Cricetulus griseus: one gene and its partners. The protein of the gene in region 2 interacts with the protein of the main gene of each other region in a biochemical or structural test. Links are inferred from orthologs where the notes say so. Each region holds a gene or a part of one and is shown on either strand. Other genes may lie near its edges.

Region 1 (3,649 bases), about 36 Mb from region 2:
TGTTCTTATTGCTATATATAAATAGTACTTGTATTTTAAAGTAGAAATATGGTGGAGTTAATTATGCAACTAGAATGAGAATCATAACAAGGCAAGGAGCCTACAGGCAAAACTCATTAGCAGCATAACACTGACCTCCATGGAGTAAGGTTGAGTTAATACCCAACACTAATGTTGGGTCTTGTGGCACATGCCTACAATCCCAGCACTAGGGATACTGAGGCAGGAGGATTGTCAATTTGAGGCTAGCTTAGGCTACATATGAAGAACCTGTCAACAATAACAACAACAACAACAAAAAAACAATTAACAACAATAAAAAAATCCTGCCTCAAAAACAAGGTGGAAGGCCAGGACCAACACCCAAGGCTGTCATCTAACACAACACACACACACACACACACACACACACACACACAAAGAAACAAACACAACCAACCAAAACAAAACCCCAAATACAGACTACTAAGTTTTACCAGAGCCTAACTAAATCAGGATCTCTCTGGTACAAGATTTGTATATACATTATATAGTTTTATGAAATGCTACTATAAGGCAAGGTTTCATTTAAGAAATGGCACTATTTATACAGATTATAAGAAAACTGGAATTATTTTCCTCTTTAGGTAACTGGAACAGGAATTTTAAAGTCTCACAGTTCACTGATGCCTTAGAAGCTCATCTTCCACACTGCCAAATGTGGGCTTCTCTTCTAATGCTCTTGTAAAAGAATACATTAAATTACATACAGATCCAAAGTAAAAGTAAGGGCCCAAAGTAAAAATATGATGCCCTCTTGTGTCTCTAAGACACCAAGCATGCATGTGGTACACAGACATAAAATACAAAGCACCCATATACATTTAATTAATTAACTAAGAAAACAGAAGTGCCATGTACATTTTGTTTTTGTTTTTTTTTTTTTTGTTTTTTTTTTTTTTTAAAGACAAGGGTCTTACACTATAGCCCTAGCTGGTCTGAAATTTCCTATGAAGACAGGCTGGCCTCAAACTCACCTGCTTCTATCTCCTGAGTGCTGGGCTTAAAGGCCACTATGCCTAGCCTCAAGTGAGTTCTTAGAACCTTTACACTCACTAATTAGGCTATGATGGCTGGCCAGCATTCCCCAGGGATCCATCTGTCTCTGCCTCTGAGTACTGGGCTTAAAATGTGTGCCACTATTACCTGTTTTTTGTTGTTGTTGTTTGTTTTTGTATATGTGGGTGCTGGCAACCAAACTCAGGTTCTTACCCTTCAAGACTTAACCATCTCCTTAGCTCCTTCCACAGCCTCTTTATCTGAATCAGTACTTAGTCTGAGTTTTATCTTTGTGTATTATGGATACATCCACCTATTAGAATTATGAACCTGCAAACATCAAAATCAGGGCCTCTTTTCCACCTCAATCTCTAAACCCATTGTCAATGAATAGGTTCAATGAATCCATCACGTAGTAACCCTCCAGGGAAAGCAGTAGGAAGTTAAAGCATAAACCTGAGGATGTATTATTCAACCTATAAGTGATACATCAGTACAACAAGAGTTATTTTTATTTCCTGGGCAGCTCCATGATACTTAAATTATTTGTCTACTTTGATTCTAAAAGACCATACAGCAATGTAGAATGATGACTCAATACTGTTCTACAATCAGTCAAGCCCAAATGTTATAGTCAAATACCACAGTCTTCGTGAAGCTTAAGAGACAACGGCATTATATACAGAAGAGAACAAGTGGTTCTGTTTCTATCATCTCTGAAAATTTCTGACCTACAGTGTGTGCCCTCCAACGTTGCTGGGAAATGCATCAACTTGTCAGGCATCTTGATAGTCATCAGAGTATCAGACACCTATTCTGTAAGTCCACCAAGGTTAAGTACCTGATTTGCAGGGAGCCTTGTGACCTATCATTTCCCTGGCCTTTTCCCCAGACACTGACTGTTGCCATTTGATATTTCTCCATCTTGGACAACATGGGCTTGGTAGCCCATGTCCACAGACAGTCTGGACTTTGGAACCTTTTATTATTAGAATCCTGGAAGCTAATTAAATTGGAAGTATGACAAAGGCAGAAGTGAAGAGGAAGGGGAAAAGTCAAGCAGTTCTTTTCAATTGTAATAAAGGTGCATTTTAGACAAAAATGCTCAAATGACTGCCTTAAAACATTTCAGAGCTGGAAAAGGCACAAACCAATAACTATTTAAAAGACAGAAGATATTTTTTTTAATTTATTTTATTTATTTATTTTTGGAAGTGTGTGCATATTGAAGCAGGACCTCATGTAACTCAGGCTTGCCTCCAATTCACTTTGTAGCCAAGGTTAACCTTGAACTTCTGATCCTCCTGCCTTTCCTCCCAAGTGATGGGATTATAGGTATAGACCACCACACCCAACAAGGCAGAGGTTTAAAGGCCTGAAAGATGGTGACCATTATTAAGCCACTTTAATGATACTCATGACCAAAGGACAACTTACAAGAAGTTAAGAAGTAGGAAAAATAATGAACTCTGGTAAGGACATCATTAATTATGATAGCCAAATAACATGTTGACTAAATACCAGAAGTTCTATTTATAAGCAGATCAACATAATAAATCTGTATACATGTAGACATATTCCATCCCAATAATGAACAGAATGGTAATGAAGTCTCTAAAGATAGATAATTCTGTCCTTTACAAAGGACATTTCTGTTCACCAAGGAAAGCCAAATAAAGTTCTCTAGTCCAGCAAGAACTAAAAACACCAAAAGAGAAGCAGAGGCTTACCAGGCTATCCAGTCCTCCTCCTAAAAGATCCACGGCTCCCATCTGCATGGAGGACACTTGTGGCACGTTCACTGGGGGACCCAGGTCAAGATTTAAAAGATCCCCCAAGAGGTCACCTTGAGAGGGGATGACCTGAGGCTGTTCCAGGTTGGTTGCAGTGGTGGTGCCAACAGGGCTATCACCTGCATCAGTGCTGTAATCAAACACAGAGGAGAAATAAGAAAAACCATCTTCACCCCTATACAATAAAGCAGCAAGCAAATGTCACATGTACAACCACAAAACACTAAGAATGCAATTAAGGAATTAAACATGGCTGAGATGTCTCAGGAGGTAAATGTTCCTGCCATCAAGTTTAATCCCCAAAATCCACACAGTGGAAGGAGAGAATTGACTCCCATAGGTTGTCCTCTGTGAGACATGTACACGTACACACAACAAATAAATACATGTTAAAAAAAAAACAAAACTTAAGTAGCTTTTGACAAGATCTGAACATGGAGGGGTAAGGAGAATGACAATAAACAAACATTAAGGAAAAGATAAGTGATGCTGCCAATAGGGGAATCTGGAAGGATGATAAAAAAAAAAAATAAGACACTCAGGTTTTGTTCGCTAAGAACACATTCTACCACCGAGCTACAACCACAGCTTCAAGATGCTTAATTCTGTTATGTGTTAAGAAAAATAACTATAGATGTCCAGCAGTCAACTAAAGACAAGTGATTGGCAGCCAGAACTAGAGAATAAACTTGGAAAGAAATTTATATACACATCTCAGGTAACTTATCAGGGGAAGGTGGTTGGTAAGAGCAGGGGATCTAGACCCAGACATCTAAGATCAAGCATAGGCTTTACATAGTGCAACTGTAGGTGACAAC
Region 2 (3,649 bases):
ATTACTCTGAAAAATGCCCCGGGCAATTACCAACTTGAGGTTACTATAGCCCCCAACCCCGAGGAAAACAGATTTACTGAGAAGACTCCAAAGAGCAGCACCCGGGCAGGTGGCAAAGAACCAGGTCAGCACAACTAAAGGTGGACAGGAAGAAATGTCCTTACATAACAGAAAGCAGACCTGTCTGCTCATGTTATACAACCCATGACATCAAGCAGCAAGTCTACTTCACAGGGCCTGGCTGGAGTTTCCCAGCTTTGTGCACCTCTACTGCCTCGTGTGAGTACTACCAGTGGCACTCATATACATATGGACTGACAAAGGAGAAATTCAGGAGAAAGAAGCAGAGGTGCGTGGTGGCTACTAAAGATAAATTTTAAAAGGACAAAAACAAGGAGAGGAAATGGGAGAGAAAAACCACCAGGCAAAGGGTCAGAGAAAGACAACAGAGGCTGAAAGAAAGCTGCTGGCCCTTTCACACAGTCACCTTTCTGCTTCTTTCTTCCCCTCCTTCATCCCAGTACCGCAAAGATGAGGATATATACATTAAAATGAGTGATTAGCATCAGAAACATCAGTAACCTAGTCAAAACTAGCAAGTTCCGGGTACAACTCAGACACTTTCACACCTCTGTCTGTTCAAATTCTATTGTTATACAATTTGTATTTAACTCTTAACATGTGGTTGTAAAACTCTCACTAATTTTCCTTTATGAAAATGAAGGTTGACAACAGGCCCAGAACGGGGCTAAGATTCATCACTGAGGCAATGATTTACATGAGTAATCATGTACAGAGATGCTTTGTTCAAGACAGAATTAAGACTTAGTGACTATTTTCCATGGGACAAACAATGCATCTCTTCCCCCCAAATGCTTTTGTGACCCAACAGATTTCAGCATGTATCTTTATGCCAGGCATCATGCCTGTTCTTTTAAGGACTCTAAGTAGATAACAAGGCCTTGTCCTCTAGAACACACGATTCTACCAAATGTATGCAGTCACGTGCCATCTAATGGTGTTTAGGTTCACAGTGAACTATGGAAGGAGGGTTCCTTGTCTTACACTAGCTAACCCATCATCCTATCAGACATCTTAGCAGGTGTAATAACAATTCTCAGGGAAAGCAGACAACTTACCTGTGACCTTGACATGGGCAAACCGAGCCCCACAGTGTTAGTGCTCATCAGAGAGAAATTCATACTCTGGGAAGACGTCATGGTTGCCTGGGATGAGCCCATAAGATCAAATAGGTCGGAAGAGTTTGAGGCAGCAGGAGGTGGGCCTAAAGTTGGCTGTGAGCCACCGATGAGTTCTACTGCAGGCTGTGGGGCACTGCCAAAGAGCTCACTACTGGAAGCAACAGGACCTGATGGGGCTTGGTTGAAGGCACTCCAGTCACCAAAGTCTCCATTCCCACTTGTTGCTGTTACCAAGACAGAGCAGGCAGGGTAAGAAGCACTCTGAAGTACACAGAGCAAATGCAAACTCTACGAACTGCAACTAACTGAAGTTGATAGGAGCCCATGCAGGTTAGTGTCTGCCGGCCCCATCTCCATCTGGACATTATCTTTCCTCATGAATATTACAAGAGTGTTAACAAGGTGGCAAAGAAAACAGAGTTAGAACTCTAAAAGTAAAATCCATCTCTTGGAAGCTCTGCTCATAATACACAAAAAGTGGCATGAAATGACTCCAACCAAGTTGGTATTAGTTAAACACGTGGGACTCAAAAAGGGAGGAAATTCTATACAGGTTAACTTCCTGCTGGGGGTGAGGGCAACTCCAAAGTCAGAGAGCCCAATCTTTGCTCATTATTTAGAAGGTTCAAAGAGAAATCCAGCTGCAATCAATACCCACATAATTGTCGAAACCCCAAGTTCATGATAAATTTATTAAGAACAAAACAAAAATTATGAAGGATAAAAAGCTAATAAAACAAAGTGTGGGCATTTAATAAATTCCTATTAGCAGTTCTCACTATGCTTTTGTTTCCACAGAATACACAAACGCTACCTCCTAGACTGATCTCCAGCATGCTGACTGCTCAGTCTAGGTCAATAAATAGCAAGGGGAACTCATGTTAGTTTGAATTTAATGTAATCTGAAGTGGGCATGTATTGAAGGATTGGTCTGCAGTTTATGGCACCAAGAGGCAACTGGATGATGACTGGGCTAAGTTTATCGATGAGTGATGAGTTCATGTAGGCTATCAGGAGGTGGTGACCTGGCTGGAGGAAGGGTAGCCTTTGGAGGGTATGTTTTGTCATGGCCCTTTCCTGGCAGCTCCTCTGCTTTCACGCAAAGGACACTAGCCTTTCCACCATAGGTCCACAGCAAGAACCGGGTGACCCCGAGCCTCTGAAGCTGTGAGCCAAGTAAGTTTCTTCTAAGGCAGTCTTCTCATTTGTCCTCTCAGTGACAGAAAGCTAACAGTTCAAGTTAGCATTAGAAAAGGATCCAGTTAAGAGCTTACACATCAGAGACAGACTATTAAAGAGCAACTTTAAACCTGAGCTACTCAGCTGGCTCCTCTAGATCCGAATTTTCAATCTGTTCTGTAAAGATGGAGCAATGGCATATGCAACATCATCTGAGGTCTGATATTGTTACTTTGTTACTTTGGATTAACTTGGACAATTCAAATGAGTGGACCACACAGACTTGTTGCATCTCGGTTCTGGAAAAGCTGCATACATAACTGATTATACAAACAAGTAACATTTAAACATTACTTCGATTAGGGTACATATGACTCCAAGTAAATACAGCCATCCTTTAGGAAGGGACAAGACTGTGGCAGTTGATAAAGTTTCTGTGAAGAAATGGCCACTTACAGACCATCATCTGGAGTTTTAAGCACATGTCTAGCCTAAAAGGTAACCACCACAGCGGCACTGTCTCAGGATGCTAAGTGTCAGAAGAGCTCAGTCACAAGGTGTCTTGAAGATTGCACTCCTCTATTACTGTAGTAATATGCAGCACCCTCAGGAGAGAAACCCCAGGCTCTGCTGAGTTTCAGGTAAGAGCAGGGCTACTACTCTCTATTCAGGGTTTTACCATAACCTGCTGTTAATCTTGTACTAACCATTTTTACAGTTAGTCCTTGATTATTAGATGTTTTAAAACCATTTAAGTAAGGCTGCTCATTGAATGTAAACTTTACCCTGGTTTCCATCTGCAGGATCCATTAAGCAGAATATGAGGGGAAGTGGGCAAAGCATGCTGCCCCATCTGAAAACTCAGCACTGAGATGATTAATCATTCAAGGACAAGATTTCAAATGGTGCAGACACTATTCAAAAATGATTAATCACTGTTGTGGGTTCAGGCCCTGTGCGGTGGTGATCAGGCTGTATTAATCACACATGTATGGATAGAGATATATGAGAAGACTGAACTAACATATTCAAGTTATTTGCATACCCAGACAACTTCATATACACAAAAAATGTCAAGGATTACCCAGGGAGCCTGTACACCTAGGCCATGTTTCCCTTCCACTCTGATATGGGCACAGTAAGGTACCAGCCTTGGAAAGGTACTGCCACACTTCCAGAAGGAAGCAGTTAATTGCATAACAGCACTACTTTGGGGGGGATACACTTGGAATTTATAGAAGGAGGCTGTCAAAATAACCTACACGCAA
Region 3 (4,289 bases), about 40 Mb from region 2:
AGAATCCTACTATTCAGCTCAGCAACATATTGCATAATTGCATTTATGGATCAAAGGGAGAAGATCAGGGTGGGGAGATTTGTAATGGAAAACTAAAAGTGCTCAAGTGTTCAACAGGATGAGAGAAGAATTGTAAAGATGCTTAATATGCCAAGAATTGAGAATTTCAGGCAGTGGGGTTTTGTTTTTTGAGATAGGGTTTTGTTGGATGGCATAGAACTTTCTGAGTTCTGCAACCTACAATTTCTTTAGGATCTGCAATTCTAACAAAAATTCCTTCATCACATAAAATATTAATATTTATGTGATATGATTGTTGTTCCAAGCCTCAATGACAGAACATCATGGAAATAAATAGCAATATTTTATTTGCAGGAGTCTTAAAATAGGGGCTGGAGAAATGGCTCAGTGGTTAAGAGCAATGATTGCTCTTCCAAAGGATCCAGATTCAATTCCAAGCACCCACATGGCAGCTTACAACTGCCTGAAACTCCAGTTCCAGGGGACCTGACACCCTCACACGGACAGGCAAAACACTAATGTTCATAAAATAAAAATAAAATTTAAAGAAAAGTTTAACATAAACTTAAGAGTTTGCTGTTAAGTTTCACAAGTTAACACTACACTCTCTAGTTCCTCATTTACAGTTCTTCTATGTGTTTTAGAAAACTGTTTTCTACTAAGCAGAATGGCAGAGGCTTGGAAATCAAAGACTTAAGATGACAACTGAAATAACCCTTGCAATAATGCGTTAAAAGAGGGGCTAAAAACCTGAGGTCAGGAGATACATTATCCTGGAAGAGAATGGTGTTTGGGACTTTTGGTGCAATTGGTCACTATCTACTGGAGTGGAATCCTACCAGCCAAGCATAAGCTTAAAGTGGAATATGATCCTACAAAAAATAAATGTCAGAGACCTTCAAGAATACTTGTAAAGCTATTTTGTAAATATTCAAAAGCTTCACATTTGAGAAGGAAACAGTTTCAATTATTTGCAGAAATTGTTCCTCACATGCCACACCTGCATTAAATTTATTTTAATTAGGGACAAGTTTGGATTCCAATCTGTAGGACCATTCAACAATTCTTGTTATTTATTAAAAATGAAAACCTATTACTCAAATCACCAATGACCAACAAATAAGATTTACCAAGGGACAAACCACAGGTCATGTGAAACGATTAGCAACTGCCTTTGCTTCTCTTGTGTATGGTTTATAAACATGCTTGCAGAAAGGTTATTTTTGGTGCACTTTACTGCAGACAAGCCCATTGTCCACTAGGATTCAGGAACAATGTGAAGTCACTAACTCTTCATATTCGTTTTTTAACAGAGGGACCCAAAACAAGTTTGAACTGAGGACAAAAATTCACTTCTTGATCAGCATTGCCATTTTTCAGACTTTTGCAAAATTGTGGTCTTATTGCCAAAACAGATGAATTATTTGCATTGGACCATTGCGTCTTCCTTCAGAAATTAGCCCTTTAGAAGTCAGACCTGAAAGCAAGCTTCTTCACAGGGATATTTGCGGGGGGGGTTGGGGGTGATAACTTGATATGAATGAATAATGTTAAAGAGTCAGGACAAGTGAATCAGGAAAATCAGCAGTTCGGAAGAAGCTTAATTCAGCGAAGCCCTCCAATGGTCACCTGCCTAGGCCAACCGTTGGCATGCTGCCAGGTTAGACAATGGTGTATTAACTCCAGGATAAGGCACAGTTGGGGGTGGGGGGGTCGCCCAACCTACTAAAAAGAAGCCAGTTACAGATCAACTGGTCTGGTACTGACTCAGAGCAGGTATGCATTTACTACCAGGCTCTGCTGAATTCCACACAGTCCTGTGAGACTGTACTACCTGCTAGATTCCAAAAGGCCACAAATAACCTCTAAATAACTCTCCCTGCCTTCTAGAATCCAAGTGACGCTAAGAGCTACACCACCCTACGAAGAAACCAAGAAAGGAAAAATATGCGCGTTCCCCTTGGGACCTTGACCCCAGGCACCCAGAGGCTGACACCGCCCCTAGCCGCCCCTCTATTCTATCTTCTTTCTGTTCCTGCAGTGAGTGACCTTCGTTCGGTTCCTTATAGATTCAGGGAAGACAAGACACAAGCCACTGCCTACCCCTACCCCAAGGTGCCTTTCTCAGTTGTGAACTGCAGAGGGAGGATGAAAAAGGTTGCTCCTCCCCAACCCACCCGACACACAATTTCTGGGTGCAGACTAGGTGTGGAAACGGGAATAAACCAAGGGAAGGTGACAGCCCTGCACCAGCCCAGGGTTAACGAGAATTCTCGCTCCGGAAGAAACGTGCGAGAATCTCTCCCACATACCCCCTACCCAAATGAATGAACTGAGTGAAATGGGAAGGGAGTCGAGTCTAGTATGTGCAATTCTTGCAATTCAGGAAGCAGAATAAGAGGCCGTCAGACGTAAGGCCTGGCCTCGCCGCCCTTTGCACTCCGATTCGTCATTTCCATCCTAGTCTAATATCACTTAACCCTTTAAGCTTTTAAGACAGTGTCCCTTCCTCTATCTAACGCCAAATACCAACCCCCCCCCCCGCCTCCCCTCGATCCCTTTCGGGCCGGGCCGCCGGCTCCTTCTTTGCCTCTACCCACGAAAAGGCCCTCGGCAGCCCCGACCCACACACACCTGGAGATGCTCCTGAAAACGAATTGGCAGAATCTGGGCCATGGCGCTGTCGGGGGGTATGGTCTCCTCCTGTCACTGGGCTACGGGGCAGTGCCTGCCCGGGCTCTCCAAGGGAGAGGAGGAGAAGGGGAAGGGGGGGAGGCTGGGCTCAGCAGGATACTCTCCGGGGACGCAGGAAACTGGCAGGCAGACGAAAGAGCTTGGGTCGGGGGCGGAGGCTCCAGGGGCCGGGAGAGCCGCAATGGCGGAACCGGGAGCAGCGCAGACTCCGGAAACGGCTGAGCCCTGCGGAAGGATCCCGGGGCAGAACTCCGCCCAGCCTCCTCACCCCCTCCGCCTTATGTAGCCTTCCACGAGCGCCGCGCCGCGGTCGGGCGTAGGAATTCAGGGACGCAGTGCGCGGAGCGCTCTTCGCGGCGGCGACTGCGAGGAAACAGAGGGGCCGAGGGACTACTTTTTTAAGACTCATCACTTTCCCCAGGCTCCGGTTTCTACCTCCTCCCCTCCCCCCACTCTTTTTTTTTTTTTTTTTAACATTTTGCCACATCATGCGACTCGGGGCGACCGACGTCATTTCCGTAGGCGCTGTAGGACCCACCCACGCACTTCCAGGCGCACGTGATGCGGGCAGGGAAGGGTCGGTTGACGGCTGCCAGAGCGGAGGGCGAGGGTTAGGGGATGGCCGCGGCCTCTGGGGGTGAGGTGGCGGATGGACCCCCTGCCGGCGAGGCGGCCGGGGCGTGAGGAGAGCGAGTGCCTGAGGAGGAGGCCGCGGCGTGGGCGCCGGGGTGACTCAGGAAAAGGGCCGCGCCGCAGCGCTCTTCGGGCGGCTGGCTGCGGCGCGCCTCCCCCGCCCGGTTTCACGCAGTGGGTGGTTGCTGACACCTCTGGGAGGGGGATCGCGCCGGGCTGCAAGCTCCATTCCCTGACGCACGCCCTGCTGACGCCGGGAGAACCGGCCGGCTTCCGAGTTCCTCAGATAAACCACCTCAAAGGACAGTGAAGGAAGGCCATGTGAGGAGTGTCTTGAGGCCGGCCCCGGAGAGCGCTCCCGCGGACATTTTGGTGGATTTAGACCCACCTAGTGTAGACATCAGCTTGGCCTTCGAGACTTGGAGGGTCCAGCAACGTCAGATCATGAGTCTTATTTAGATCAGGGGATGGCTTGGAGGAAGGATCCTCAAAGGCTTTCTCGGAGCGGAGGGATTGACTGCTAGTCATACGTGTTAGTAGGACCATTGCCTGTCGTAGCAGTGTGGGCAATACAAGCACTTCAAACCCGGAGCACCGTGGCTGCCCACAGCGTTAAGGTATCTGCAGCGTTCATTAGCGATTAGCAGCCGCCCCAGAGCCCTTGATAAAGCGTAAGATGTAATGTTTCACAATAACACCGATATAAGGAAGAATTATAGAATTCAATCCCGTGCCTTTCATCTTTTTTTTTTTATTCCCTTGAAAGTTCTTGAGAAAATTATTTTCATTGCCCCTTTCACCTAAACACTATAAGACCTCACTAGGTATACAATTATTTTGTGTAAGCAGTTTTGCTTAGAAATCTGCTTAGTCATTTTAGTTGCTTTTAGTGTTTCCACCCCAAATACTGTCTTTCAAACCTAGACTGACTGAAGAAACTG

Evidence for each region.
Region 1: the proteins of Clint1 (region 2) and Ap2b1 form a complex in vitro, tested with the Homo sapiens proteins (2 studies listed by BioGRID and IntAct, with this or other methods). The link is inferred for Cricetulus griseus from reciprocal best matches to the Homo sapiens genes CLINT1 and AP2B1.
Region 3: the proteins of Clint1 (region 2) and Cltc form a complex in vitro, tested with the Homo sapiens proteins (2 studies listed by BioGRID). The link is inferred for Cricetulus griseus from reciprocal best matches to the Homo sapiens genes CLINT1 and CLTC.

Annotation. Positions count from the first base shown.
Region 1 is NC_048600.1:96,585,636-96,589,284, reverse strand, and holds part of Ap2b1 (AP-2 complex subunit beta), read right to left. Parts: intron 2,962-3,649; coding exon 2,769-2,961; intron 1-2,768. UniProt on the Homo sapiens protein: Component of the adaptor protein complex 2 (AP-2). Adaptor protein complexes function in protein transport via transport vesicles in different membrane traffic pathways.
Region 2 is NC_048600.1:60,456,587-60,460,235, reverse strand, and holds part of Clint1 (clathrin interactor 1), read right to left. Parts: intron 1,427-3,649; coding exon 1,140-1,426; intron 1-1,139. UniProt on the Homo sapiens protein: Binds to membranes enriched in phosphatidylinositol 4,5-bisphosphate (PtdIns(4,5)P2). May have a role in transport via clathrin-coated vesicles from the trans-Golgi network to endosomes. Stimulates clathrin assembly.
Region 3 is NC_048600.1:99,995,162-99,999,450, forward strand, and holds the start of Cltc (clathrin heavy chain 1), read right to left. Parts: upstream 2,872-4,289; 5' UTR 2,698-2,871; coding exon 2,656-2,697; intron 1-2,655. UniProt on the Homo sapiens protein: Clathrin is the major protein of the polyhedral coat of coated pits and vesicles. Two different adapter protein complexes link the clathrin lattice either to the plasma membrane or to the trans-Golgi network.